2 linked regions of the Anolis sagrei genome follow. The protein of the gene in region 1 purifies or fractionates together with the protein of each later gene. This does not show direct contact. Links are inferred from orthologs where the notes say so. Each region holds a gene or a part of one and is shown in the gene's direction. Other genes may lie near its edges.

Region 1 (16,181 bases):
TATTTCCACAGCTCTTTGGTGATGTTTGCTTCCACTGTAACCGTGTGATTGAAGGAGATGGTGAGTTCCCATAGATATTCTTGTTTCATCTTTTCAGTAAAAAAGCACTTTACAAAGGATGTCTAAGAAAGGAAATGTTTCTTGTATGGAACCATAAAGAGCTGGTAAAGCTTATTTCAAAAATTAGATATCTCAAAATATTGATGGTGGTAAAACTAACCTGGAATAGTTATGATCATTTATCTCACACCTTTATTTTAGAGCAGTGATACCCTGATTGCCAATCCAGGCTGTCAGGTTCAAGACTTGCAGTTCTACCCAAGCTATAAGTTTTTGTAGAACATTGAAAATTAGGAGGGGGAATGAAACATGTAATGCCTATCTGTATCCTTCTGTGTCCCTTCCAAAGGTGGAAAATTTGGAGGAGGGCCTTGTCAACTCTGGCAACCCAATTATGGAAGGAACTTCCTTTGGCTGTCCAAATGGCGCAAAAGTTGTTCTCTTTCTGGCACCAAGCCAAAACCTGGCTTTTGCAATGGGGATTAATTTATTTTAAATTACGAATTTAAAAGCATATAAAGTGATTTTAATTTTTGCTTTACTATGTTTTTAGGTTTTTAAAAAATATATTATTTTAATCTGCAGGTATTTTAATTTATTTATTTATTTATTACGGTTGCTTATACTCCGCCCTTCTCACCCGGGGGGACTCAGGGCGGCTTACACAAACAAGGCACAATTCGATGCCTGTATTACAAAAACATAACATCAAAAACATAACATCAATAACAACAATAATTATAACACTGATAACAATTAACGTAAACAATCAATATTATCGGCAGGAATAGCCATAAACCCGTAAAAACAATTAAAACAATAAAAGCAATACAAACCTCATTGCTGGTCAGCGTTTAACCGACTCATAGTTAGGTTCTACTTTCCACACATTGTTGGTCCTATAATTCTGGTTCCATGTCTAATTGTCAGGGTGCCCAAAGGCCTGGTCCCAGAGCCATGTCTTTACCTTCCTCCTGAAGGCAAGGAGGGAAGTTGAAGCCCTGATTTCCCCCGGGAAATTATTTTATTGTACACAACCCTTGAGATTCCATGTTAAAGCTTTTAATAATTATTATAGTAAGATGGTGTCAAGGTTACAGTCTGAATACTGCTGCCATATGGACATAGTACTTGCATTGACACATTAAATAATAGGAAAGATCAGCTAAAGGTGGGTCTAGCAGCCAAATTTTAGTGACCTCAGTGTCTAGCTGAAATGCCTAAACAATAACCACCACAACAAATGGTCAGAGGATTGCTGCGAGTTTTCCGGGTTGTATGGCCATGTTCCAGAAGCATTATCTCCTGACGTTTTGCCCACATCTATAGCAGGCATCCTCAGAGGTTGTGAGGTCTGTTAGAAACTAAGCAAGTGAGGTTTATATATGATGGTCAGAAGTTTAGTGGTTAGAAATTTAGTTTTGGTTGTGAAAAATTCAGATTGTCTTTGTAATCTCAGCTAGTGTTGAGGAAGACTCTGTCCAATTTTAAAAAGAGAATCGCCACATTTGGAAGCTTGTATGAGAGGCAATTCACAATTTTTGCCAGAAAAACAGTACAGTGATGATGATTGGGTACACAAAACAAGAACGATTTGCTCATTTCTGCTGTAGAAAATTAAAATGTAAAATCCCATCATTAAGACACTAGAGTTCTTTTATGCATTGGCAACTGTACTCCATAATCCAGACAATTTATGTGTCCATGGCAGGCCCACTTCATGACTGGAGCAGAGTTACTGTACATACAGAATGCAGAAACAGCAACATCACTCACTATGACAGGCTGGTGCATGCTATCCATTATTACTACCAAAATCCCACTAATTTTCTTTCATTCTGTTGGATTGTGGACAATTAATGGCAGCTTTCCAGCCACCTGCTGCTTGGCTAATCTGCGATCCAGAGAATGGAAGTGGTTAGAAAGTTTGGGCCATAGCTTCAATATCCACACAAGGTGGGAAAGAGCTGAAATTGTGTAAATATTATAAGTGTTAAGCATGGTACCAAAACCAAAAATTCTGCTGTTAAATTTTTGTGCAGATCTTGTTTCAAGCAATGTACAATGATTTGGAAAAAATTGTATCTGACTTTTGAGATATTACTATGATAATATATGCTGTGACATAATAATGGTAAAAGTAAACAACTGCTGTTAGCAATGGCGTCTAGCTAATCCTGTTACTTCTCTTTTTTTCATAGTGGTTTCTGCCTTGAATAAGGCTTGGTGTGTGAACTGCTTTGCATGTTCTACTTGCAACACAAAGTTAACGCTCAAGTAAGTAATTGTTTGTGATTCTGAAGGATAATGTGATGCTTCTGGGAACGGCTGTTGGACTGCATTTTCCAGTATTCCTTTCCATTGCTTTATGCTAGCTAGGCTTGATGGAACTTGTGGTCCCACAATATTTGAAGGGCTGCCTGATTCCACCCCAGCACACAATAAAGGCTTGCCCTTTTTGAAGCAGACATTGGTTGCTTGTTCAGCAGGATGACCAGTTTACATCCTTCACTCCAATCCAGAACAATCTAGTACAGAACTTTAAATAACGTCTGTATCCTATTGCTTTTATGCCTTTATATAGACTAATATAAGCAGTATGGGGTCACAGCTTCAAGATGATTACACACTACCATGAATTCCGTTAAGATCCACATTTGGAAGAAGGAAGCTCCGACTTAAGTAGAATTAAAGACTATATGCTGTGTACACACTCCAAAATTGGTACACCATATATATATGTTTTGTATAATACAAAAAGATGTGCACTCTCTTTTTCCCCTAGCCTATTTTACATTTGGCCACTGCCACTTTTCATTTTCCACAGTATATGCAAGTAGGGGTTGTAAGAGTGTTTCATTCATTATGCATTTGAAGTGTATATAGCATACGTTTTATGCCAATGTAGCACATGAAGCTGTGTTTATGAACATTAGCAGTGTACATGCATAGGAAAGCAATTGATGGCTTTCCTGTTCTGTGGTAACAAAGCCATGTTTCAGTGTCAGGCAAAGGGCAGGAATCATTTCCCATTACTATATTTGCTGTTTTCACTTCATTTCTGTTTTCTGCTGAATTCTGTTCTTCTACTTGACTTGACTCTTGATGCTTTCCTGTTCTCCCAACTGTTTCTTCTTTGCTTTATCTGAAAGGGACAAGTTTGTTGAAATCGATCTTAAACCTGTGTGCAAACACTGTTATGAGAAAATGCCAGAAGAGTTTAAGCGGAGACTTGCCAAACGGGAGCGTGAACAAAAGGAAAAGGACAAACATAAAAAGAAAAAGCCAGTTTGCCTGTAAACATTTCATTCCTGTCTTCTACTTTCTCTGCTCCTTCCTTTCTTTTGGTCAGTTTGAAGGAAAAGCTTTTCTTTTAGATGTTGTGGTGTGCATGCAAATGTGATCAAAATAAAGTTTCATTCTCAATATCTAAAGGCATTTTAGAGGAGTAAGGTATGGGATGCATCCTGCATGCATGGTAGTACTTGTGTGTGTGTGTGTGTGTGTGTGTGTGTGTGTGTGTATATATATATATATATATATATATATATATATATCTCAAAGAGTTCAATCACAACTTCAAGCAGGAATGTGAGAAATTTCCAGAGAGGTTTGCCTTGTTAAATTTGATTGCCTTGTTCATAGACTTTTAAGGGAATCCAACGTCATCACCTTTCAGTTATAGCTTCCTTTGTTTTCCCAGTTTTTTCAGTCTGTTTTGCTTTCCAGAGAAAAACCAGTTAAGAAGGAAAAGATGCAGTGGCTGCATTATACTTTTGGAGTAGTAATGCTTGGATTTGCCTGTTGCAAAAATTACTGGTCACGGTCTAATAGTATATTTCAATATCCAATGCCATTATAAGTTGTGGTTTCCTCCTCTTCCCTGCAGCTCTCTTGGTACCAAAATATATTTCAGGGTGTAAGCGGAACTGCAGAAGGGAAAATGGATCACCTTTTCTAACAGAACAACAGGATCCCAAAAGATCCCAATTTCAGATCCTGATCTCCACATCTCTCTTGACAAAACAGTAGATGTTAGCATAAATGTGCTCATTTTAAAAGAGACATCTCAAAACAAATTGCTGGGAACTAAAAGACCACGTCGACATGTATTTTTCAGCAATTTGGGAGGCATTTGTGCACTAATAACAATGTCTTTATGTTTATAAACTTCCAAAAACGACAGTAGTGTAATTTATACTGAATTGTAGAGATTAGTTTTAATTTATTGTTAGCTAATTGTATACATGTATGGATTTTATTTGTATCTGTTAAGACACCTATTTTTCCTTTCCAGAAACAAGTTTGTGGAATTTGATATGAAGCCTGTCTGTAAGAAGTGCTATGAGAAGTTCCCACTGGAACTCAAGAAGAGACTAAAGAAATTGGCTGAAACTTTGGGAAGAAAGTGAAACCCTCTGCTTCTAGACCTCCTCTTGCTATGCAACATGTAGGAAATTGTATTGATGTAAACAGACTTACTTTTGTTGAGTCTATCAAACATTAACTCAGAAGAAAAGTATTCCTCAGCATGTCTAGCTATACACTAATACATTTGCCTCACTTTGAAAATATACCTCTAAAACACTTTCATGTTAAGGTTTGGAAACATGTGGCTCTCCATATGTAATTGGATTGCTACAGCCATCAGTCTTAGTGATCATTGCAAATATTAAGGTGTTTACAGTCTAGAAATATATAGAAGCCACATGTTCCATAACCATGCTTTTCATCTTAAGCAAGCTCATATTCAACCATTTAAATAATGTATCTTATATGGCTTTATAGATATATAAAAACATACATCCCTTGTATTTGCTTAGCAGATAGTGGATGAAAAAAATAGTGGACACTGGGAATGAAGTATAAGATTTCCCTTGACAAAAAGACCAAATCATTATAAACTGAATTCCAACGATATTTGTCTAATTATTGTCAGCTGGAGAAAAATGTAGCAGAACCAAAATGAAGTAGAAATACATCCAGCATTATGCTGGCTCCCGACTGTCAGTATGACATAACTTTCTTCTTTTGATCTCTGAAAATGGGCTCAAGGAAGTTTGGTGATACATTGAAGCAGTTACCATATGAACCTGACTAAATCCTCTTACCAGAAACCAACCTATCATTGGATCCTAGCAGGAGAGTATGCTTCATTTGGGACTGGAATCTTATAGACAATTATTTGGTGGTTAGTCATAGGTTTATCTCAAGGAGTGCCCTGTTCAGTGCCAACAAAATATTAATTGAATCATGGCCAAATGATTGCTTATCAGTACATATATATGCATTTGTTTTAAACACTCTTCTATTCAATATTAAAAGTTGAGTGTATTCTAACAGGGCTGTTCTGCTGTAAATGACAACTTAGGAATGCTTCTAACTGCTAAGCATACTAAGCAATGTGTTCTGAACTGGCCAGTTTTAATGTTAACATTTTTGAGAACAGTTATGAGATTTTTTGAAAAATTAGTTCTGGTTATACAATTTATTGTTTGTGAACTAATGGGAATCAACAACTACCATATTTAATCATCTAATGCGCTATTGAATATAATAAGCATCTCAATTTTCAAAACCTTGAAACCCAAAAAAGTATTTGCTGCTGAATTTTCAGCAGAAAAAGGTGCATTATTTTAATATGCCCATTCCAGTTGCTGCCTGCTTAGAATTCCTTCTTTAAAAGCAAAAGTGTTAGAACACCAAAACTTCCAGCAGTGGAAAAGACAAGTTCGTGTTCTAAAAGGAGGCCTTTTTAAAGTTTATTGGAAAGAATTCAATATATCTGAATTTTGGAGATCCTAAGATTTTTAACACCTTGGATATGAATTTTAAAGAAGCCTTATTTGCCAACTCTTTGCAGAGATTAATAACTTTTTAACTGACTAGTATACACAAGAGCGGAGACTGCAGTTCTCACATAATTGGAACACAATGACTCCAGAATGCATCATTTGAAGATGGCAAATCAACCCAGAAAATGGCAACAGAGTCCTGTGTATCTAAAATATATATAAACACAGAGCTACTTGAATATTATGGGAATTTTTCTGTATAACAGATACATATTCCTGTGTGCTTTTGTATTTCATTTCCTTCTTGTGCCTTATTCTGCCATATGTATGCAATATTAGCCAAAATAGCTATATACCGTTACCTTGTATTTTTATGCAGTCCATTCATGCCAAGGCCTTTCAAATGATATGGCATATACTCAGCCTTTTCAATGTCAATATTTTTAATGATAAAAGATAATTTTCAAAGCTAATTTCCTTTTTATTTTCTCAATTCACTTATTCCAGAATAGTACACAAAATAAAAATCTGAACGTGTACAGATTCCAACTGAGAGTGTTGTGTGTTAATTGGTTAATAAAATATAATTATTTCAGCTTCTTTCTTTGCTGGCTAGAGATTACATATAAGTAACTACAGTCCTCCATATATGCCATATACCAGTCTTTATCTTCTTGCCCATTAATCATGATGACCATATCTAAGAAACCAGAGATGGTGCGGTCTATCCAACTCACAACCTTGTGCATTTTCCTGCAGGAATCAGTTGTTTATCCCACATAAGGAATTTTTGGTTTAGAGATTTACATTATGTATCTTTGTTAAATATACTTTGCTTAGTACATTGAATGCTGGAGTACCATAGCATAGATATGCTATACATCCTTATGATTATATAACAGTATTACTTTTGGTGTATAGTAGCTTTTTGCTCTTTGTATTGCGGTCTATCCAATGCCATTTTCTGAATCAGAGCCCCAAATTACCGTAGGAATAAGTCCCAAGACCAAAGTGTTCATGGAATTTACTTCCAAATAATTGTATATAGGATTTCAAAGCTGAACTCAGTGGGAATAAACATGTAGGATTGTATTGTCATAAATTTGATTTTGCTACAAAATTACAAAGGAATGACAAATCTCATTCATAAATTAGTTTCAAATTTATAATTATGCTGACCTGATGGTTCATCAAGGTCCATCAGGAGAGGCAGATAAGAAATAAAATTATTATCATTATTATTGTCATCATCATATCACCATCATCACAATAGAAACAGTATCCAAAAATGATGTGGTGGTATAATAATAGCAATACTGTGTATAAAAACATTTTAAATATGTATTTAGTTACAATATTTTTATTCTGCCCTTCTCACCCTGAAGGGGACTAAGGGTGGATCATAGAAAACATATATATGGCAAACATTCAGTGCCAATTATAACAATGACAAGACAGGCAACAGATAGACGTATAGATGGGCTTTCCCATCTTCCAGCATCTTTGGACGCTGTGCTTGGTTCTGCTGTCGCTCCACCTCCCTGCCTCCCTGTTTAGAACTGGGTCTAAGCATTCATATCATAAATCTTGGTTCCAAAATTATACCTATCCCCAAAACTCCCAAACTATGCTATTAACTCTTCTACTACATATTATGCTGTTTCCTTGACAGTCAGGGAAACAGCAATAGTCTGGATGACCTATTTCACCAGTGGCCTTGGTAATGTCAATCCCCAGATATAAATTTCTCAGTGTCCTTTAGGCAATGTTCTTGCAGACGGCCAATTCTCTCACACCAGAAGCGACTTGCAGTTTCTCAAGTCACTCCTGACACGATAAAAAAAATCCCTGTCATGGGCTCTGTAATGTACCCACACAATAAAAAAAATCCCTCAATCACAGGCTCTGAAATGTACCCACAAGCTTTGTAAGCTCCTCAACGCCCAATCTCAATAATAACAGAACATACCTTGGGTCAAGAATCTACCGAAAATAAAGTTGTGATGGTATAAAACCGAAGACCGCTTTGTGGTGATCAGAGGTGAGACCAAGTTCTTACTTTATTTGGAAATTCATCATTCTTGGGTTAATGATAACACTAGCCAACACACATTTTGATGCCTCAAATGTTAGGCCTGTTTCAGGACATATTTGGCCTGCTGATTCAAAAACTGGCATCAGTTTCCCCCTCTCAGCTCAAGTTTTTGAGATACAGAACACATGCTATATATCAGCCTTCATCTGCTCGCCTATGAGAAATCATGGTAACCATATCTAAGAAACTAGAGCTGATGTGTTCTATCCAATGCCATTTTCTGAATCAATGCCCCAAATAATCCCAGAAACAGGCCAAAAAACGAAGTTACAATACTTTTTTTTTGTTGGTCTGTCTTACGGGTGCATCTACATTGTAGAATTAATGCAGTTTGACACCGGTTTAGCTGCCATGGCATGCAATCATGGGAATTGTATTTGGTGAGGCGCCAGGACTCTGTGCAACAGTTCCCCCGATTCTGTAGCATAGTTAAGGTTCTGTCATGCTTCATTAATTATACACCCTATGTGTATGTGTTTTCATACACTCAAAGAATTTAAATAATTTGTATAAAGCGACCCTCAAGCTATGTGAATCAGATATGAAACATTAACAAATTTCGCATTTAGACTTGGGTCTCATTTTCAAAATATGCCATTATATGCAAATACTGGTTCAGGCATGTGGGGGGGGGGGTTGAGGGGCTTCAGGGCAGGCCCGTAGCCAGGATTTCGTTTCGGGGGGGGGGGGGGGGGGCTGAATTTTTTTCAGGGGGGCTGAGTCTGAGTGAAAGAGGGTCTACCCTCTACCCTTTTGTATTATTACCCCAATACCCCCATGCATATGGGATATATTGAGTATGGTGATCAGATCATGATATGAATAAACATAACAGTTTAAATAATGCACCAGTAAGGCCTTTTCGCTGAAGCCCCCCGAGCCCCCCCCGAGCCCCCCCCCCCCAGCTACAGGCTTGCTTCAGGGTGGTCTTACTGGTACACTAGTTATGTTTATTCATAACATAACGGTGCTCCATGCAGTCATGCTGGCCACATGACCTTGGAAGTGTCTACGGACAACGCCGGCTCTTCGGCTTAGAAATGGAGATGAGCACCACACCACAGATTCGGACACAACTGGACTTCATGTCAGGGGAAAACCTTTACCTTTACCTATGTTTATTCATATCATCTGATCACCATGCTCAATATATCCCATATGCATGGAGGTATTGGGATAACGCTCCAGCAAAGGGTCACCGCCTTGTTGTGGCGCTGGAGCTTGAGCACCTCAATGATGTCATGAGCGAAACCGTGAAGGGCCACCCAAGACGGGACGGTCGTGGCAGAGAGGGCAGACCAAGCGTGATCCCTGGGGAAGGCAACGGCAAACCACCCCAGTATCCTTGCCAAAAAAACTAAATGGACCAGTACAACCAGAGATATGTTGGTATGCCATTGGAAGATGGGAAGATGACACCACTCTGATGGCCGAAAGCGAGGAGGAGCTGAGGAGCCTTCTAATCAAGGTGAAAGAAGAAAGAGCAAAAGCTGGGTTGCAGCTAAACATAAAAAAAAACAAGATTATGGCAACAAGAATGATTGACAACTGGAAAATAGAGGGAGAAAACGTGGAGGCCGTGACAGACTTTGTATTTCTAGGCGCAAAGATCACTGCAGATGCAGACTGTGGCCAGGAAATCAGAAGTCGCTTACTTCTTGGGAGGAGAGCAATGTCCAGTCTCGATAAAATAGTAAAGAGTAGAGACATCAGACTGGCAACAAAGATCCGCTTAGTCAAAGCCATGGTATTCCCTGTAGTCACCTACGGATGTGAGAGCTGGACCTTAGGGAAGGCTGAGCGAAGGAAGATCGATGCTTTTGAGCTGTGGTGTTGGAGGAAAGTTCTGAGAGTGCCTTGGACTGCGAGAAGATCCAACCAGTCCATCCTCCAGGAAATAAAGCCCGACTGCTCACTGGAGGGAAGGAGATAGAGACAAAGTTGAAGTACTTTGGCCACATCATGAGGAGACAGGAAAGCCTAGAGAAGACAATTATGCTGGGGAAAGTGGAAGGCAAAAGGAAGAGGGGCCGACCAAGGGCAAGATGGATGGATGGCATCCTTGAAGTGACTGGACTGACCTTGAAGGAGCTGGGGGTGGTGACGGCCGACAGGGAGCTCTGGCGTGGGCTAGTCCATGAGGTCACGAAGAGTCGGAGACGACTGAAAGAATGAACAACAACATTGGGATAACGATACAAAAGGTTTGCTAGGGTAGATCCTCACCCCCCCCACCCCACCCCCGAATCAAAATTCTGGCTACAGACTTGACTGGTATCCAAAAACCCGGAATCCCAAACTTCTGACCCCATTCACTTTGGGATAAGGGACCCTTAATATGTCTAACGGAACTCGGAAGGTTTCTCCCTACGCGAAGTGAGTGCATCCCTATTTATTTATCTCTATGGGCGCAAAATCGATAGGCCACACCCCTTCCTCGATACTATGAAGGAAGCGCGCCTTCTAGGCGCTTCCGCTCCACCGCTGCCCGTCATTTCCGTCGCGCCGCTGACGTAACAGACGTGTATTGAGGCCCGCGCGTACTGACGCTCGTGGTGGCGTCATTATCATCATCGTTCTTCGAGAGGGGAAGCTACGAGGCCGGCTCTGCGGGGCTCCCCACCCTCCTCCTCCTTTCTGGCGGCGCCAGGGCGCTCTGTGAGGGCCGCACGCCACCATGATGAGGCGCAACAGGGCCGAAGTCGACCGTTACGTGACCTCGCTACAGGCCTCGGCGTCTTCTCCCAGAGAGGTGAGTGGCGGAGTGCGGAGGGCTGGCTGGCTGGCTGGGTGGGGGCGTCTGTCTCAGGGAAGGGTGCCCGGCTCAGCGCTATTCCCGTCAAGGGTTCGCAGGAGGCCGCTGATTGGTGCGCACAACGTTCGCTTTTGAAGGCGTTCTCCAATGGGCTTCGGCGCGCGCCGGGCCCCTACCGCACACTCGCGCGTAAATGCGCCTCTCTCGGAAGGAGGGAAAGGAGGAGGAAGCCGGGCTGGGCCCCCGTGGTGTGGCTTCCCCTTTGCTCCTGTTTGCCAACACTTTTTGTGTAATTGGCGGGAACGCTCTTGAGTTGCATTTACACCACTATTAACAGCCATAGCTCCAATGCTATGGAATCCTGGGACCTGTAGTTTGACAAGGCCTTTAGACTTCCCTGCCAAACACTGCCAAAGTACAGGAGGATTGGAGATTTCTAGAGAGGTATGCTCTCTAGGAATTTCTAGGCCCTTGAGCACACTGCTTCTTAAACTCAGGATCCCAACCCTAAAGGAGTCGCTGTACCTCAGTGTTGGAATCATAGAAAATGTGTGTCTGAATGCCACCATTTACACAAATCTGTTAACAGTGTGTACTGTTTACAGTGGGCTCTGCAAAAAACGCTTCATCTGTATTCCACCAAAAGAAAAATAGCCTGTTTCACAAATTTTGCAAATGCTGATTTGCTATCAATAAATCTTTGTTTCTTATACCCATTTTATATACCTGGGGTAATATAAAAGTTTCTCAAGTGAAAAAGGTTTAAGAAGCCATTCTCTGTTACATCTCTGCAGTCAAACTCTGGCAGAAGTTACCATAGAGTCACACTGGAGATCTCAGAGTTTCTGGTAAAGGCAATAATAAAATCTGCAAATAGTCAGATCCATAAAGTGAACCCCACTAATGTGTAGGGTGGATTGTACATTCTCCAAACTCAACCCTAGCTATTTTGTTGACCTTTCACTTCCTATGTCAGCTTTTAAAGTATTCTATTAAAACAACATCAAATCTACAACAGCCTCAAGGCAATGCAACATAGGTTGCTGTTCGCTTCTCAATATTGTGAACGTTGCTCACGTGCAAATATCTGTGCGCTTGTTAGATTGGCCTCCAGTTGTCTGCTCTTAAATCATATGTTTCTTTTCCTCAAACACATTTAATTAGAACCCATGTATGATAATTAAAAGCTTATAGAAATTATGATGTTTGAAAATTTCTGTTTTGCAAGTTCTCACTGTAAATAATTTAATGGCTTTTCCATACTGAATTCTTGTCTACTTTGCAAGGGACCGAAGAGGCAAATTAGTTGCTTTATTTAAATTTAACTTTTGATTCTAGTTGTTAGTAGCAAGTATTCTGTTCATTGTTGTTTAAGGGTTTTGTTGAATGGATTGTTGAATGGATTAATCACCATTGTTCAAAGTATTGGTTCTAACACTCCTTGTTGTTTTTTAACCCTTTAAAATTGATAAACTGGCCCACATCCTTTCTAAATCACCAGTGGACCACTCCAAAAAACGTAACAAGTAAATATTACTCCTAATAACAAAAAATGATGTTTGATGTGTTAATTTTAAAAAATGATATTATTTGACCATGTTGCCCCAGAGCAACAAGTTACAGGTAGTAAGATGATTTCTTCCAATATGGAAAGCCTTCCATTGTTTTCACTTGTCTGAAAATCCAGTTTAATGATTGCCAACCTTGAACACACGAAACATTACTTAGTATCTATTTACAGTGTCCCTTATCCATGGCGCTTGCACCGGCAGTTTTATTTACCCATGTCTGGCAAAATATGTCCTCTCCAGGTATTTTCTAGATCCCTTAGCATGAGTTTATGGTATTCTTGAGCCAAATACCCATCATTTCAATAAGATTCGCTATTACTGTGGCTCCATGTGTCCAAGTGAAGTCCAGGAATGTGGATACACATCTCGTACTGTGTTGAATTTTAAACTAATGCAAAAAAAAAAACCTATGTTGGGCCAACAGAATATCTGATTGCACAGATCCCTGCTCTTAAAGTAGAAGGTAGCACATCAAAAAAAGAGATAGACAGGTTCCTCTTATATTTTTTGCATGCACTACTCCACTCTATTATCAGAACAGAGTTTTGCAAATTCACATTCTTCTCTGTGACACAAAAATCTTTAATTTTTTTCCTGTCTAGAAAATGAGAAACAATATTATATTCTCAACTTGGGTTCTGATAAATCACCATTCAGCATGCAGAATTCATCAATTCTGCAAAATCTAATGTTTGTCTCCATTGGCAATAACTTAAAGTGTCCTACCTAGGTAGTGGTCCGTTTATGTGGTTCTCAAGATGCCATTAAAAAGGGAGATGCTAACTGGATCTTCAGATTTAGCAGGAGATAAGACAGGTCTATAGTAAGTAGGATATCCCAGTTCAAGTCTCTCTGGCCATATAATATGAAATAAACATTTATGGCCAACGGTTGCTCAGGATGACTTGCAGTAAATCATAAAAATGTTGCATGTGTTAAGAATTGAATGTGACACGTAATTTTGCAACCACAAAAGAACTATTTGTAACTTTTAAAACTATTTAAACCAATACCAATCGGTATCGACTTAAATAGTATCTCTCAGAAATACAGTGTACTGCATTTCTGAGAGATCTATGTTCGCTTTTCTCTGTTATAAAAGGGCTAGAATGAGACATCTGTGACCTTTTTCATAATCGTTAAAAAAAACACCCCAGTAGCTTTTCCTTAACTTCCAATTTAGGTTGAAATGATGGGCTAGTATAGCTTCAGTTACACAACATTTGACACAACATTCTTTACCTTGGAACACCTAGCGATCTACATTTTTGTTGTTGAGGGAGGAACTTTTTGATACATCTGAAAAGTGGTTTTCTGGAGTGACTAGTTTGTATCTCAAAGTTTACAGAAATATTTAGTGCTTTTAAATAGCCACCCTATCACCCTTGAAACACTTGTTCTCGACATCCCTGTCATCATTTACTTTAATGGGTTGTAACAAGAACAAATATATGTGGCAGGACTTCAGAATGTTTCAGGTGCTTGTGAACGTAAGGTATTTTATATTGCCAACATGGAATGAATAATCATTTCAGAAATGAATATCTGGGTCTGGAAAAACGTTGACATGCTCTTTTTTTGTTCTGTGTGAATTGACATATTTTCAGAGATGGGTCATTAAGCAGTTGCTAAGAAAATCTTGGCCACGTGTTAGTAAAAACAAGGAACAATGACTTTCAAACTGTTGACAATGTGGACTAGTTTGAACCATTGCATTTAAAAATCCATCCCATTACAAGATTCAAGCTATAAATAACTGATGTTAGGCATTTTTTTAAAAACCTACATTTTTCTCTTAGAAATCCATGAAAGGATTCTTTTTTGCCAAGCTCTACTACGAAGCAAAGGAATATGAACTTGCTAAAAGGTAAAAGATCTCTGAAGTAACTTGCTCTTGTGTGCTGTGTTTCAGAATGGTTTTTTTCTAGGTTTTGAGCATCTTCTGTTTAGAGATCTTTGATTTCCAGTTTAGTGTGTGACAAGTACTCATGTATAAGTCTTGAAATCTTAGTACAGAAATCAATCAGAATATCTAGATTGTCTTATCCTTGAGTCACTGTAAGTACTGTCTCTTAACTCTTATAAAAAAGGAACGATCCCCTTTTCTGAGAGTGTGGCAAAAAAGTAAGAACTTAGTACATATCAGGAGAACTTTTAAAAAGTATTTGCCTCCTTAACTCTCTCCTTTGTAGCAGCGACTGCTTCTGGCCTTTTGAATGTTTGCGTGAGAAAATGTTTCCTTCTCCACAGAATGACCCTCGACTTATTGACAGGTCACGTCACAATCTGTAATTTTGCCCCAAAACCTTCCCTCAACTTATATGTGAAGTTGACTTATACATGAGTGTATATAGTATATGTGTAATATGCTTATAGTAACTCTTGCATTTCTCATGTATGTTTCTATAGTGTACAGAACAAATGCTGGATATTCCTTAACAATGTGCAGTGAAACTTTAAAACAGTATACATTAGGCTTGGTTGATCAAGAAAAAAATGGTTCTAAACTCGTTTCGTATGCTGGAGGTTCGATTTTTAAAGTATTTCCGAAATTTTCTTTAAAAAAAGATCGAAATTACCAGGAAATACAAATTGTTTCCTTTGTTTCATTAATGGAAGGTGCCCTTCCCTCCCTCCAGAACCATTTAAATCTCGCAGTTTCCCTTCCTTCCCTTGCGGCAGAAGGGAGAGGTGGGCGTGGCCAAGCACAGCCCTCCTCGGAGACCTCGCCCCCAGCGACCTCCAAGTGAGGAGCGCTGTGCTTGTCCACGCCCACCTCTCCCTTGGACAGCTTGCCAGGGAAGAGAAAGAAAGGTGAGAGATTTCAAAAGTGTTGGTTTTTAAATCTCTCACATTTCTTTCTCCTCTCTGGCAAGCTGTCCAAGGGAGATGTGGGCGTGGCCAAGGACAGCACTCCTTGGAGGCCTCGCCCCCAGCGACCTCTGAGCGAGGAGCGCTGCGCTTGGCCATTCCCACCTCCTTCCTATTTGCATCGGCGGCTTTGCAAGGTGGGTGTGGCTGCTCCCAGCTGTTCCGCATCGCCGCTTGTCGCCAGGGAGGTAGTCATGCGCACCTCGCAAAGCTGCCGATGCAAAGAGGAAGGAGGTGAGCGTGGGTAAAAACAGCTGTTCCTAAAGGCCACGCCCCCAGCATTTACGATTCACTGGTGGAAGTCGTAAGGAAGATGGGGGCGCGGCTTCGATATGGCAAAAACACTTCCGGGTTGCCAAAACGCGTCGATATCGCTTCTAAAGGTAATTATTTAACAAATTGGAGGCCAAGCACAATTATTTAACAAATTAATAACGAATTAAGAAATTAACGAACTGGATCAACCAAGCCTAGTATACATGAAAGTTGGTGCTCCTGATTCTCTTTTAATTATAACTACATAATGATTATTATCATCAGTCATTAACTGCCTGCATGTTAACTTGCTATGCTGTTTCTGCAAAGGTACATATCTACATACCTTGGTGTCCAAGAAAGAGATCCCAAGGCACACAAATTCTTGGGACAACTCTATGAAGCGGAAGATAACATAGAGAAAGCTGTAGGTTGTTACAAGGTGAGAAATTACTGACATTGTTTGTGTTACATGGATGCTAGATGTGTGGTTAAGATTCTTACTGAAATATACTCAGTATTTATTTTGAAATACAATTTAGAGTGTTAGAAAATAATTTCTAAAAAGGTGTAACAGCATGACTACACTAAAACTGAGTCTGAAACTACAGTGTTCCCTCGCTACTTCATGGTTCGTTTTTTGTGGACTCGCTATTTTGCTATTTGGAGTGTGGAAGGGGGTTTCTCCCCCCCCCCTCGGGAGAGAGGCAGCCAATCATAAAAAAGAGAGAGGGGAGATACAAAGCAGTATGTAAATCACGGCCTTATTTATTTATTTA
Region 2 (15,612 bases), on another chromosome or scaffold:
AACTGGATGTGTTGTTCAATAGCAAATCTTTCTAGCTTTTGCAAAGCCCTTGTTTGGATGTAACCTAGGGAGATATACTCCTCAGCTTGTGGCTACATGAGTCCACAAGTAAGAATTCAGAATGTGGTGTTCCCGACTGTTGTGCCAATGCAATACAAAGGAGAGAAGAATTACCGTATTGTGGGAAGAGATGCTGCAGCAGCAAGTATTTCAGTGTAGAGAGGGCTTATTGTGTGTCAAGACTACTGGCACGATTGTGCTTTCCTTATCAGGACAAACTGAAATGACATCAAAATCTATGGGTTCTGTCAGATTCTGGTATCACCTTGTTTCTCTTCTGCACAATTATGGTGCTTTGATACCTATAGAATCCTGGCTTTCTTGTCTTGGCAAGGTACTTAGAATCCCCTAGTGTACCTTTTGGAACAGCCATTCAGTGATACAGGTAAGAGGTAGAAAATTCAGAATTCCTCAAAAAATACAGTGGAATCTCAACTTATGAACATCCAATTTAAAAGCCTTGCTCAGCCCTGGTTTCACCTTGACACACAAGCAGCACTTTGCATTAAGGGCTAGTGTGAGAAGGAGCACTAGCACATGAGTATGGGGCTTTAGCCTTGTGCTCTTGTCCACTTTGGGAGATTGCTGTTGCTTTTGCAGAAATTAGTTTGTGTGGTTTTTACTCCTATTATGTTTGGTTTCATGAAGAAAGCAGGAGAGAGAAAGAAAGGGAAGGAGGCTGGAATGAGTACAGTATGATGAGTACAGAAAGATGCTACTGCCTTTTTGCTTTGTGTATCCTTGCCACAACTTTGTGCTTCTACCATTTTTATTGTTCCATGTGAATGTGAATGTGCAAGTTTTGCCTTGTTGTTACACTGGCCAACATACATTTTGTTGCCTCAAATGGGTTTCCTTCTCACAGCTTTGTGCTTCTACCATTTTAAAGTTAATCTTTCTTTTTTATTGTTTCATGTGAATGTGCACTATACATTTGGTAGCTTGGCTTCAGCTGATGGTGAGTCCAGAGTTTTGTGCTCTTGTGGTTCTTTGTGGCCATACTGAAACCAAAAATGCCCCAGTGGACAGAAACCCAATTCTTGTTTTGTTATATATTGAACAGTCTAAGAGACCCTATGCCTATTTAAGATATGGATTTTCATTCTTTGAAGGTTCCAGGAGAGGCAATTTTCTCTCATACACTTTTCTTGGTCAGAAAGCGAGTGATCTGGTCTTGGGGAGCCAAAAGGCAACATAGGATTGCTTTGTTTAGTCCTAGTGTAAATAACAAATTGAAACTCTTTTTGGTACATTCTGCTCATATAGCTTCTGTGAATAGTACAGGCATGCAAATTCATCTTTGGTCCTTGACACTTGGTGGCCTGGTTTCAGCTGATGGTGAGTGCATCAAGATGCAGTGAGATTAGATTTGCTGCCTCTACCCTGCCTTCCTAGAGTTCATATCCTCTCCTTTCCCATAAAACAGCCTATTACATTGCCTGCCATTTATCTCATTCATCATTAGAGAGGAGTGGGTCTCTAAGCATGTGCAGATCTCATTTCCATTGATGGTATTTAGATTAGAGGTGTGGTTTCCAATTAGTTATGAGTGCCACTTCCCCCTGTCAAAATTAAAGACTGGGTGTTGGTCATGAAGAAGGGAATCTTCCATTCAGTTTAATAATGTCTGGAAACTCTTTACAGAAACCTGCCTTATGCTTTTCTAGACCAGAGACATTGACAAACTAATGAAATCTTGGGAGGCACACATCTTTTCAGCTTATATACCAAGGCAGGCTTTGCTTTTATCTTAACTCATCTCAGGAGAGTCGTTAGACCAAGAAAGAAGAGTATGTGGTCCTCCAGATGTTACTGGATTGCATTTCTCATGCTCACTCACTAGTACAATATGGAGATGCATTCCAACATCTGGAAGACCACACATTCCCCACCTTCTTTTAGTCATTACCTAGATCTGTTCCCCACTCAACTCATCAGCTAATGAGCATGTTGCAATTTACCCTTTCTGCTAGTTTATTTTTAATTATTAATATTCACCATGATTACGGAGACTGAATTGACAGATCACATTCACTAGAAGGGAGGATACTTCTATGATTTCACCTGTTTTTGTAAGATGTTTGTACAGCTATACTATAATCTATGAAAGAGATATATCCTGAGCCTTTGTTTCTTTAACAGAAAATGTAGTAGCAGAAGCAGAAAAACATGTAAGGAATGGGGATGGGTTCTTACACTACAAAAAGAAAAGCAGTTCAACATATTCAAACAATCGTTTAATTCAAAACTAACTCTACACATGGAAATGAAACTACCAGATTTGGTAAGCCTTGCACATGTAAATACAAACTTTTTCACCTTTCTAAAGACAACCCCAAGTCTTCATCCAAAATACACCATGTAATTTTTTTTTCTTCCACAAGCATTCACTTTTCTTAAGATTTTGATTTTGGTAGTGAAAGTTCTAAATGTATGCTTTAAAAACCTATGTTGAGGGGATGGGGACGGGACCTGGTGAGGCTGCCTTCTCTGTTCTCTTCCTCTCTCTTCCTTTTCATGTTCATACATGCTCAGTAAGGGATTCAAGAGGCAGCTGCTGCTTACTTTGGCCAGGGTCACAAAGCTATATTAGGATTGGCTAGGATAGAATCCCATTCTTTCCCAGCCCAAGATTTTGGGGGATTGTTTATTATAGATATTATGCTGCAGCCAGGCACAAAAGTCTGCATTTCTCCGGCCTTTATTCACCTTCCTCCCAATGCCAATGATCTAAAACTTTTCTAACTAAACAGAGGATGGAGACAAAAACGGAGAGCTCAGCAGGCATAATAATCTTTTTTTAATATGATATTTATTGGAAAGAGCCATTGTTAATTATGTATGTCTGTATTTTAATACATCTTGCTGGAGGTGGGGGGTAATATTACAGCTGTAATCTCTACAGTAGGGTAGGTCACTGATTATCCACAACATCCAAATGTATATGCTCTTGAGAGTTGTAGTCTCTTGATTCATTTTAGCCAGGTACTTTGCTTGGTCTGAGCTTTGAAATGTGCTAACTAAATGGTCCTGTAAGCTTTTTTCAATTTCCAAAATCTGGCTTTGGGCTATTAGAATAAAACTGTAGATTTAGAGACTGCCATTGTTACCTGTTTGTTTGGAAATTGAGGCGAGACTGAAGTCCATTCAGCTTCAGTTTCTCCTGAATTTCTTCCTGGAACAGCGTCACGGGTTCCCTGGGCATAGCATGTTTGTTTCCTGGATTACCAATTTCCTCCTTCTCAAGATATATTGCCAAAGCCAGGTATATGCAATCTTTACACTTCAGCTAGAAGTTAACAGCAGTCTAGGGGCATAAAAAGTTAACTTGCAGCAATAATCTTGTTGGAATATTTTTTCCATTTACTTTGCAGTTTGAGGTTGAAAACAGCAATGAAAGCTGAGAATGAACTGGAGAAATGATTTCCCCCTCTATTGCTGAACCACTTATACAGTTCTCATAGCTATTAGCAGGGAGATGGGTCATGCTTGAGCTCTTCCCTTTTTGTTACTTGCTTCTGCACTATATAACTCCAAAGAGCCCATCTTCAATTAACTTCAGGATAAAGTATTTTCCCCAGACTAGGGGAGTCTGACATACTGTATTCTAAGCAATGGGAAATTTGATTACCAGCCAAGGGATAAGTGGGTAGAATTTGTTTGGGGCCCAGTTCTACCATCAGCTGTGGGAACATGCTGGAGCCCTTCAATGAAATGCCATGAATGTTTCTCTGAAGTGTACCATCTGCTGCATCATTTACCACCAATGTGTAACATGTGTCAGTCTCCAGCACAAAAAGAACCCTTGGAGAGGCCTGGAATTGCATACAGTACAGGAACCTAGAGGAATGTCAATTGTTTATTTGAGGAGCTGTTCAGAGGGGAATGCATTGGCCATTTCCTTATCTGGGTAACAAGAATGTCTAAGCCTGTTTAGTCCCCAGCCTTCCAAAACTGCAGCATTGCACAGTCCCTTTTGATGAAGATTTACATAAAATTTAATGATGCAGCCAGAGCTGCACTTTGGGACCCTGCAATAAATGTCCTCTCTCCATCACAAACTTAGATGGCAGCAGTTGTGGGGAGTAATGAGAAAGAGGCTTGGCATCAGCATCTGCTTGGTCCAGACAGGACTGATGCCGAAGTATCCTTCCTTGCTCATTTATAAAACATTTTAAAACCATGGAGTGAGAAGCCAAAAATATACATGGTTAGATTTTACATGAAATATATATTACAATACTTCTTTCTACAAGGAACAGGAGTGAGAGAATTGCATGGGGGCACCTTCCTCTAGGAGACTGTGCCTCAGGGAGATAATCCAATTAATAATTCTCTACTGTGTCCATCTTGGAGAAATGATAGGATTGCCATTTTTAAATATCTGAAGGAGATCATATAGAAGGTGAGAACTTGTTTCGGTTGTTCCAGGAACTAGAATATGAAGCAATAGATTTCAATAAGAAGAAAAAGAGATTCCATCTAAACATTAGGAAGGACATTTTTTACTGTGAGAGCTGTTCAACGATGGAACAGACTGCCTTGGAAGATGGTGGACTCTCCGTTTTTGGAGGTCCTTAAACATCTTGGAAGGGCATCTTTTAGGAGTGCTTGAGCTATGTCTTCCCATATGCCAAGGGTTTAGACTATATGACTCTTGTGGTCTATCCCAGCTCAAAGATTCTGTGAATCTAACAAAATAGTGTTTGTCAATACATTTAGTATCAGGGTCATCTGAAATAAATTGAACTCCATTTTATTACTATTATGATAGAAGTGAGCTTAACATTTAACAGTAATAATAACTTTATTTTTGTACCCTGCCTCCATTTCCCCAAAGGGACTCAATTTCCCCAAAGGGGTGGCTTACATGGGGATGAGCTCAATCAACATAGTTAAAATATAAAAACAAAATAAAAATAACATCATTACCAAATATCAAAGCAAACATCAACCAACAACATATGAATCTTCAATAATGATCAGTTTCTGCACATGCTCATGTTCTAAAACTTTTGTACTGTGCTTTTTAAACTTGACTAGCTGTGGGATTGTTAGCTACCTTGAGCCCCCACTGGGCAAAAGGTGGGTATAAATAAAGTTAATAATAATAATAATAATAATAATAATAATGCTCAGACTGCTTTTTAGAAACAGGGAGTGCCAAACTGTCATTTTTGTTTTGCTCTAAAAATATGAAGAATGCACCATTTGTAAAGCATGAAGTGGCAGAAAGAGGTGCAAAAGACAAATGTTTGGGTTTTTTTCTGAAATGTTAAACATGGACATTGAAAGCTCCTCCTCTTTCATTTACTTAGACCACTCAATTCAAGGTCTAAAATCACTTAACTATGTTACCAGTAAACCACATGAGCTAATAGACCAAACGCCACTAGGAGTTCAATTAAATTCAAGCCACGTGGCCTAACATGAATTGAAGGAAAAACTGAATACATGCTGGGTGTTCAAGAACATGTGAATATTTTCATGCTTGATGCAATTAAATTTAATTTCAGAATGAGGGAAGAAAAATAGCTGATTACATCAAACTTTTATATTTTTGTTTCCGGAAAGTTTTATAACAGTGAAGAATTTAGTGTGTCATTGCAGTTTTTTTTTTCACGTGGTAAATCCAGCCTCACCGTGCACACAACATGAAATGCTCAGATTGCAGATACAGTGCATGATTCTACAGGTGAACTTAAATGTCCTCTTAATAAATGCTGATGCTTTAAGCATGCCAGGTTGGATCAACATGACTGAAAGGTAGAAGATGAAAGTGTTTTATAAAGCCCTTTGGCAGTAGGCAGGGCAAGTACTGCGTGGTTTAATCCCCAGGTGTGTGCAGGACGGGTAATTGTTTTTGGTTTGCCTTCTGAATTTGCTACCATTTATTTATGATGAAAAGTAACATGGTGAATTACATTAGCTTCTGAAAAATGGGTGATTCCAGGAGGAAATTTGAAGTACTCCTTAAAAAAATAATCCTGAATTTTAGGGCTATTATATAATGCCACTGTGAGAGCTCTCAAATGTTTTCCAGTTCTATAGCCACTTTATGGATTCAGAAGATCTCTTTCTCTTTTTCCATGATTAAATTTACTCAGGAAGCTTTTGGCCACAGACTTTGTAATAAGCTTTTTGAAAGGCCAAGCACAGAGATGGCACTTTGAATGGAATCTAGGACAAGTTTGGAGCATTAAAGTAGGGTTTCCATGACGTGGGAAACCCAGCTCCAAATCCTTTTTCAGCTCCACGACCTGCTGGGTTTCCTTCTCTTATATTGGTACCCTGCTGGGGAATCTCTGAGACAAAGCTGCTTATTCCCACTGGGCAAACCCAGAAGTGATTGGGGAAAAGATGGAAGGTGAGTCATCATTGCCCAGTCCTTAGCATCACCTTAGTGGCTCTCCACCTTAGCAACAACGTCTTCCTTAAAATAATAAAACTGTAATAATGCATTTCCATGCTGTTTTGTTAGATTAACAGAGAGACTGTTGCAATTCCTTGGGGTGAGGAAGGAGCGGTACTGTTCTTTTCATTTAACACAGTGAGATGTCTGTCTCAAGACAACAGATCTGGGGTATCATAAAAGTGCATTGATCATCGAGGGTCCTATCACACTACACTGTTATAGCACTATCTTTCCACTGTAACTGTCATTTCAACATCTTATGGAATCCTAGTATTTACAATTTGGGTATTCAGCAAGCTTTTGGGCCTCACTAATAATAGTTTCTTATCGTGTCAGGAGCAAATTGAGAAACTGTTGCTTCCAGTGTGAGAGAATTGGCTGTCTGTGCGGGCGTTGCCCAGAGGATGCCCAGATGTTTGGATGTTTTACCATCCTGTTGGGGGGCTTCTCTCATGTTTCCGCATGGGGAGCTGGAGCTGACAGAGGGAGCTCATCTGTGCTCTTCCTGGATTCAAATCTCTGACCTGTCGGTCTTCAGGGGGCTCCAATACTGCTACTACTATTACTACTACTACTAATATGAATAATATGCTTTATTTATTTTCTGCCCTATCTCCCCAAGGGGACTCAGGAAGGATTACAGAATGCATATACAGCAAGCATTCAACGCTATCATACAATTGACAAGGACAGACAATACATAAACAGAGGTAAAACTAAGAATTCTACAGGATGTTCCCATGGTAGTTAAAGTGGGATAATAGCACTATAACAGTGTGGTATGACAAGGTATTTATTTGTTATAATTTTTCATTTTACTTCAAGATGTAGGAGATGTAGGCAAAGGAGGAATTTATTGCCTCATGTACTGTCTTGATTGATTTAGTATATTGATATAGATGAAAGGGGAAACATGTCCTAAGGCCTGCTCACACTGCACGGTAATAGCACAATTATGCTTAAACTGCCATGACAGCATCCCATGGAATCCTATAATTTGCTTTTTAGTGAGTGGTATTCAGAATGCTCTATAGAATCATAGAATCATAGAATCAGAGTTGGAAGAGACCTCATGGGCCATCCGGTCCAACCCCCTGCCAAGAAGCAGGAATATTGCATTCAAATCACCCCTGACAGATGGCCATCCAGCCTCTGTTTAAAAGCTTCCAAAGAAGGAGCCTCCACCACACTCCGGGGCAGAGAGTTCCACTGCTGAACGGCTCTCACAGTCAGGAAGTTCTTCCTCATGTTCAGATGGAATCTCCTCTCTTGTAGTTTGAAGCCATTGTTCCGCGTCCTAGTCTCCAGGGAAGCAGAAAACAAGCTTGCTCCCTCCTCCCTGTGGCTTCCTCTCACATATTATACATGGCTATCATATCCCCTCTCAGCCTTCTCTTCTTCAGGCTAAACATGCCCAGCTCCTTAAGCCGCTCCTCATAGGGCTTGTTCTCCAGACCCTTGATCATTTTAGTTGCCCTCCTCTGGACACATTCCAGCTTGTCAATATCTCTCTTGAATTGTGGTGCCCAGAATTGGACACAATATTCCAGATGTGGTCTAACCAAAGCAGAATAGAGGGGTAGCCTTGAGTCACCTTGACTTCCATCAAGTCAACCCCAGGCCCGTAGCCAGGATTTCGTTTCGGGGGGGGCTGAATTTTTTTTCAGGGGGGGTTTCGGGGGGGGGCTGAGTTTTGGGGGGGGGGGCTGAGTCTGAGTGAAAGAGGGTCTAGCCTAGCAAACCTTTTGTATCATTACCCCAATACCCCCATGCATATGGGATATATTGAGTATGGTGATCAGATCATGATAGGAATAAACATAACAGTTTAAATAATGCACCAATAAGGCCTTTTCGCGAACCACCATGAAAATTTCGGGGGGGGGGCTGAAGCCCCCCAAGCCCCCCCCCCTGGCTACATGCCTGGTCAACCCTATTTCTTTTCATCAAGTCAACCCTATAAATGAGAGACCCCTAAGCCACCCAATGTTCATTTAGCCCTGCTCAGGTCTTCAAGACTCAGGGTCATGGCTTTCTTGATTGAATCACACCACTTGGAATGTGGTCTTCTTCTTTCCCCATTGCTTTCTACCTCACCAAGCATTGGTTTGCTGGCTGATATCTGAATAGAGAATGGGCCAGAGATGTCAATGCCTTCACCCTTTCACTACAGTAGAGTCTCGCTTATCCAATCTTTGTTCAGCCAGTGTTCTGTATTATCCAACACAATCTGCCTCCCGCTCAGATCCACGGAGAAAGAAAGAACCCTTGTCTATTTTGGTGCTGAATTCATATAGTAATTACTACATAATGTTACTGTGTATTGAACTGCTTTTTCTGTCAATTTGTTATAAAACATGATGTTCTAGGGCTTAATTTGTAAAATCATAATGCAATATAATCATATTTTATTTATTTACAGTATTTATATACTGCTTTTCTCATCCTGAGGGGGACTCAACGTTTTTTTGTATAGTTCTAATATTTGCATTTTGTAAGATTTGTAAATTGTATAGCTATTCAGATGGTGAGCCACTCTGGCTCCCTGTTTTGGGAGAAAAGCAGAATACAAATACATAAGATTATTTATTTATTTATCATGTCAGAAGAGAATTGAGAATATAGTTATAAAAAACCCCACAAAGTTGAAAACTTGGGATTTTGCTAAATTTCCTTTGGCCAGACGCTGGCCACTTGGGAGTGCCTCTGGTGTCTCTAGGATAATGATGGTGATGGCGATTATGATGAAAATGGTGATTTTGACGATGGTGACAATAATGAAGGGAAAGCCCCAATCAGCTGCGAGGCGGACCCTCGTTCAGGCTGAGAGCCAAGTGTGGCCGCACTTCCCGCGCGCGGCCTGCAGGGGTCGCTGTTCGGAGCCTCATCCGGCGACGCCGCTCTCGCCCCCGCAGCGCTGCGCCGCCAGCTCCTTCCTCTCCTCCCAAGAATTCCTTCAAGAGGGCAGGGCCGGCTCCCATCGGCTGCGGCTGGCCTCCCTCGCTGTGCATTGTGGGAAGGGTAGTTCCGAGGCCTCGGGATAAGCTCGCCCGCTAAGGAGCGGCGGACTACAACTCCTACAATGCCGCGGGGCCAGCGCCTGGCCGTTCCTTTTGAATGATTTCACTGCGGTTTCCATTCCCAGCGAGAAGCGCCGCAGCAAGGGAAGGAAGCGGGCAGGCAGGCAGGCGCCGCAATCATGCTCTGAGGATCCCGCGGGCCAGCCAGGAAATCCACTCGATCCCTTGAATGGCAGCCTGGGCGAGGAGGGCTAGAGGAAAAGGAGCCATGGCCGCACGAAGACTGGCGCGGCTTTGAAGCCTGCAGAAAATCACACACACACGCACACGCATCCCTATTTTGGTCTATGTGGCCAGCGCGGGCTCCGTCTCGCTCTGCCTGCGCCGCATTCCCTCCCCCGCTGGTGGAGAGCGCCGCCGCCGCTGCTTGCCGCTGAGGGCAGCTCTGCTTGGGCGAAGATGTCGGCGTTGCCGGACGAGGAGGAGTACGCGAGGCTGGTGCGGGAGTCGGGCCCGGAGTGGCTCCGCGCGGAGGTCAAGCGCCTCTTCCAGGAGCTGGGCGAGACCACCCGCGAGAAGATCCAGGCGGCCGAGTACGGGCTGGCCGTGCTGGAGGAGAAGCAGCAGCTCAAGCAGCAGTACGAGGAGCTTGAGCTCGAGTACGAGACCGCCCGCGGGGAGATGGAGCAGCTCAAGGAGGTGAGGGAAGGGAAGGGAAGGGAGGGAAGGGAAGGGAAGGGAGGGAGGAAGAAAGGAGGAAGAAGAAAGGGAAGGGAGGAAGAAGAAAGGGGGGGGGGAGATGGGGGGAGAAAGAGGAAGGGAGGAAGAAGCAGGAGGAAGAAGAAGGGGGAGAGGAGCAAGGGGAGGAGGAAGAGGAGGAGAAGGACAAGAAGAGCGGGGAGGAAGAACAGGAGAAAGGGAGGAAGAAAAGATAGGGGAGGAGGAAGAGGAAGGGAGGAAGAATAGAGGAGGATGAAGAGGTGGGGGAGAAGAGGAGGAAGGAGGGAGAGGAAAAAGAGGAAGAAGAAGGCTCAGGAGCAAGGGGAGGGGGATAAACAGGAGCGAAGAGGAAGCGAATGAGGAGAAGGAAGAAGAAGAAATGGAAGGACAAGAGGAGGAGGAGGAAGAAGAGAAGAAAGGGGGAGGAGGAACATGGGACAGGAGCAAGGCGAAGGGGTGGAAGATAAGGAGGATGAAGTGGTGAATGAGGAAGAGGAGAAAGGAGGGAGGAAGAAGAGAAGAAAAGGGGAGGAAGAAGAAGGGGCAGGAGCAAGGAGAGGGAGAGGAAGAAGAGGGGAGGAGGAGAGGGAAGAAGAAGAAAGGGAAGGCCAAGGAGGAGGAGGAGACAGGGTGAGGCAGAAGAGTCAGGAGCAAGGCGAGGGGAAAGAGAAAGAGATTGAGGAGAAGGAAGAAGAAGAAAGGGAACCATAAGAAGAGGAGGAGGAAGAAGAAAGAGAAGGGCAAGAAGAGGGGGAGGAAGAAAAGAAAGGGGGAGGGAGAAGAAGGGTCAGGAGGAAGCCAAGGAGGAGGAAGAAGAGGAAGAGAATGAGGAGGAGAAGGAAAAAGAAGAAAGGACAAGAAGAAGAGGAGAAAGGGGAGGAAGAAGGGGCAGGAGCAAGAGAAGGAGGAGGGGGAGGAAGAAAAAGTGCTGGGGGAAAGAGGAGAAATAGGAAGAAAAGAGAGGAGGACGGAGGGAAAGACAAGGAAGAAAGGGAGGGGCAGGAAGAAGGGGGTGAGGAAGAGGAAGGGAGGAGGAAGTAGAGGAAGAGAATGAGGTGAAAAGGAAGAGGAAGAAGTATTGGGTGAGAGAGAGGAAGAAGAGGGGGAGGAGTAGAAAGTTGAGAGGAAGGAAAAGGCAGAGTAGAGGAAGAGGTGAAGGAAGAATAGGAGCAGGGGGAGAGAAAGAGAGTGAAGAAGAGGGGAGGAAAGCCTACTTGTCCTCTGGGCCCTGGAAGTGGAATGATGAGTGGGTTGCAAGGCAGGAAATATGTATGCATGCTGGAGAGATACAGATTGCAGGGGGGAACATGGGCTAATGCTTACAGCTCTGCCAGCCTGGAAGAGTCCTGCCAGCCAGGAATTGAGTGAACACTCACACACAGACACACATGTTTCTAAGTAGCAGCTGGTGTGGAGGAAGGCCAGGCCTTCTTGTTTTCCTTTATTCTGGGCCCTTGGGGTGGGCTGGTTGGAATGTAATGTTGTTGGGTTTGTTTTTTTTGCAAGACAGGGCATTCCTGCAGGAGATCTATAGCATGAGCCAGTGTGGATCAGGTCAGGCTGGAATTGAATATGCTGGAGATGTATAGCATGCCAGGGGGTGGGTGGGAAGCACTAGCCACAGTGGTTAGAGCAGCCTGGAATTTAGAGTGTGTATGGCAGGGTTGTTTTGTAGGAAAGACATAGGGACCCCCTTGCACATGCCAGAGACATACAGTGTGTGTGTGGGGAGTATAGGCCAGTGGTTGGAAATCCCCTGGGGATTCTGGCCAGGCAGTCGGACTGTGCACTTGGCTGGTGATGATGGCGAATAATAATAATTAATTTGTTACCGACCTCTCCATAGATAAAAACAAGGCTATTAAAACACATATATTCAAAGACATAGACCTGAGATTAAAACACACTGAAATCACAATTCCTACTAATAAAACGTCAGTTCAAATTCACAAAAATATTAGGCCATTGAAACACACACACACACACACATATATTCAAAGACATAGGTCTAAGATGAAAACCCATTAATATTGGTGTGAATGTGTGTGATGTGGAAAGGAAGCGACTCCTTGCCCACCTTCCCTAGGTTTGCACATTGGCAATAAAGTCACAGGAGAAAGGCGCCTTGGCCTTCCTTGTTTCTGCTGGCGCAGTGCCTTGCCATTCCCTTAAAGGGGCAGCTCAGTGTATTCCCTTAATGCACCGTGCCGGTCCCATGACATCTGCAGCTTTCCTCCACACTGCAGGGAAATGGCCAGGACAGTAGATAGGGTGCATCTATACTGTAGAATGAATGCAATCAGACACCACTTTAATTTCCATGGCTCAATGCTATGAGATCATTGGAGCTGTAGTTTTACAGGTCTTGAGCCTTCTCTGCCTAAGAGTGCTGGTCTCTCACCAAGCTACAGCTTCCAGGATTCATTAGCATTGAGTCATGGAAATTAAAGTGGAGTCAAACTTCATCCACTCAGTTGATGCATTGCCACTAAAGATGCCTCTACACTATAGAATGAATGTAGTTTAACACCACTTTAATGGCCATGGCTCATTACTATGGGATCTTGGGATTGGTAGTTTGGCGAGAGGCAGCTAAAATACCTTGTAAAACTACAGCTTCCGGGATTCCATCGCATTGAGCCATGCATTTAAAATGGCGTAAAACAGCATTATTCCTACACTGTTTATTCAACCAAAGTACTGAGGTTAATAATCAAGTTATTGATTGAAATCTGGTACAGGCATCTACAAGAACTGTCCCCTTCCTGGCCTATTTCAGGTTGGCTCGATGGAATTAGCTACTTAGGTCTAAATTACATTATTTAATTGCCTGCTGCATTGTGTCTTCAGATGCACAATTACTGATATTTGGAGAGTGTGGGAGGCATATTTGCTTAACCAGAGAAATGAGTATGCATTTTCAAACAGCTAATAATTAAGGGTTCCTCGGGGCAGTTTTGTCTGCTGGGAGGTTGCAGTGTTAATGCAAATAGATGAACAGTTTATTGAAAGCAACAGAACAAACTCATGGAAGTTCATGGAAGCTCGGAAGGCAATAACTTTAACTTCTCCCAGTGGTGTAAAAACCATTTCAATTGTTACTCTGGATTCTGGAAAGTGTACACCTGCCTAAGAGTTTGAGATATTATTTCAACTATGTTCAGGACTTTTCTTTTGAAGAAAGAGTCCAAAACAGCCATTGTGTGCTCGTGACTATGAAGTATTTGGTTTTCGTTGAATAGGTCTTATGACCACAGTTTTGCACAGGTAAATTAATTTATTATGAATATTTCCCTTACCAACATAATCATCCATTTTTCCCTGTCCCACAATGTGTGCTATAATAGAAGAATGAGTAGCTATGGTCTCTCTTTATTTGGGTAGGTTTGATCAGGTGACTTACTTAGAGCACATCACCTGATTTTTGCTTTTCTAGGTTTTTAACCTCTCATTTTTGTTTTGTTTTTATCACTCATATACCTGCAGCTGAATTTCTGAATTTTACTGATTTTATCCAATGGGTTTTGTGTAGTGAGATATTCACGTTGGTTGTTATTGTTTGATGTTATTGTTTCTGCAATTTTTGTACTTTATGTGTTTGCACCTCTGGGAGATGGTGGCAGGGTATAAATAAAGTTTATTTTATTATATTAAATTAAATAAAAGGATAAACTAAAACATGGAAGCCCTCTCTTTGGTTTTGATTTGAAGCTGTTTAATTGCAAACAGCAGAACTGTCGCTTGGCAGCTGTGACAGTCTGGATGAGGGCAAACAAATTGAAATTGAATTCAGACAAGACAGAGGAACTCCTGGTCAGTCGTAAGGCCGAAGAGGGTGTAGAGTTACAGCTTGTGCTGGATGGGGTTACACTCCCCCCACAGTTTCGCAGTTTGGGAGTGATCCTGGACTCATTGCTGAGCCTAGAACCCCAGGATTAAGCAATGGCCAGGGGAGCTTTTGCACAATTAAAACTTGTGTGCCAGTTGCGCCCGTATCTTGGGAAGTCAGACTTGGCCACAGTGCTCCACACTCTGGTTACATCGGGAATAGACTACTGAAACATGCTGTACTTGGGGTTGCTCTTGAAGCTTCAAGTAGTCCAACAGGCAGCAAGCAGATTTCTCACCGGAGTGGGGTATGGAGAGCATACAACTTCTTTGTTATGTCAGCTCCAGTGGCTGCCAGTCTGCTATCAAGCACAATTCAAATTTCTGGCTTTAGACTATAAAACCCTAAACGTTCCAGCCCGATTTACCTGTGGGATCCTGCCTGAATGTATCTCCCTCTATGAGCCAGCTAGAAGGTTAAGATCATCTGGGGAGACCCTGCTCTCGGTCCCACCTCCTTTGCAGGCGCGACTGGTAGGGATGACAGGCAGGGGCTTCGCAGTGGTGGCCCTCCCAAATGAAATCAGATCAGCTCCCTCCCTCCTCACCTTCAGGAAAAAGCTAAAAATGTGGATGTGGGATCAAGCATTTGGTTAGTAACCCATTAGAGAATACGGAATAGTGCAATGACAATCTGGAATGGCCATGGATTATGATTTTGGATATTGTGATTTTTAATAAGTGTTTTAAGGTTTGATATGTTTTTAATGACTATTTTAATGTATATGTTTATTTTATTATATATGTATGTTTACATGGCATTGAATTGTTGTCTATATATGTAAGGCGCATTGAGTCCCCTACGGGGTTGAGAAAGGCCGGCTATAAATATGGTACATAAATAAATAAATACATTTAATGGACACAAGAGAAGCTGGTTTTTTAAGGTGGCATAAAACATTACAAATTTGCTAGCCATTGGAACAATAATGCAGGCCCAACTTCAGTATTTACTTAACAGAGGAAAAATGTTTAATTAAATAGTGCAAGTCTTTATGATGGCACGGTTTGTTAATGAAGCCTGTTCTCAACCAAGGTGCTTAATATTATCCTCACCGTTTAATCAAAAGAGTTTTAGGAGGTCACTATTAATTATTTTTCAAGGTCTTCTTTAAATCCAAATCTATCTTAGTTTCTGGGAAGACGTATCTATGGAGTGATGTCCATCGCCTGGAGCAGGCCTTACAAATGGTGTGTTTGAACAGCAGTGTGATGCCTTTGTGCTCACTGTTCTGTGTCCCTCCTCTTCTGTGCCATGTGCAAATGTGACAACTGCAACAATCAGCAACATAAGCACAGATGAAAGGCATTTCTGTGGCTTAACTGGGAAGGAGGTGGGATTTCCAATGATCAGATAAGATGAGAATTCAATACCTTTGGATCTTGTTACCCCTTCCTTTGATTGCAAATGCTAAAATGTTATGCTAAAAATTAAGCAGATGTTCTCTACTTATAATTGGGAATCTATACAAGGAGCAGAATCTATTCCATTTTTCTTTGTGTGGAATG

What was found.
Region 2: the proteins of E3 SUMO-protein ligase RanBP2 (region 1) and BICD2 purify together in Homo sapiens (affinity purification with western blotting; 3 studies listed by BioGRID and IntAct, with this or other methods). This does not show direct contact. The link is inferred for Anolis sagrei from reciprocal best matches to the Homo sapiens genes RANBP2 and BICD2.

Annotation. Positions count from the first base shown.
Region 1 is NC_090023.1:107,217,201-107,233,381, forward strand, and holds the start of E3 SUMO-protein ligase RanBP2, read left to right. Parts: upstream 1-10,450; 5' UTR 10,451-10,627; coding exon 10,628-10,702; intron 10,703-14,075; coding exon 14,076-14,143; intron 14,144-15,732; coding exon 15,733-15,844; intron 15,845-16,181. Other genes in the region: LIMS1 (LIM and senescent cell antigen-like-containing domain protein 1), read left to right, coding at 12-60, 2,262-2,337, 3,213-3,360. UniProt on the Homo sapiens protein: E3 SUMO-protein ligase which facilitates SUMO1 and SUMO2 conjugation by UBE2I. Involved in transport factor (Ran-GTP, karyopherin)-mediated protein import via the F-G repeat-containing domain which acts as a docking site for substrates.
Region 2 is NC_090022.1:61,124,162-61,139,773, forward strand, and holds the start of BICD2 (protein bicaudal D homolog 2), read left to right. Parts: upstream 1-9,473; 5' UTR 9,474-9,954; coding exon 9,955-10,194; intron 10,195-15,612. UniProt on the Homo sapiens protein: Acts as an adapter protein linking the dynein motor complex to various cargos and converts dynein from a non-processive to a highly processive motor in the presence of dynactin.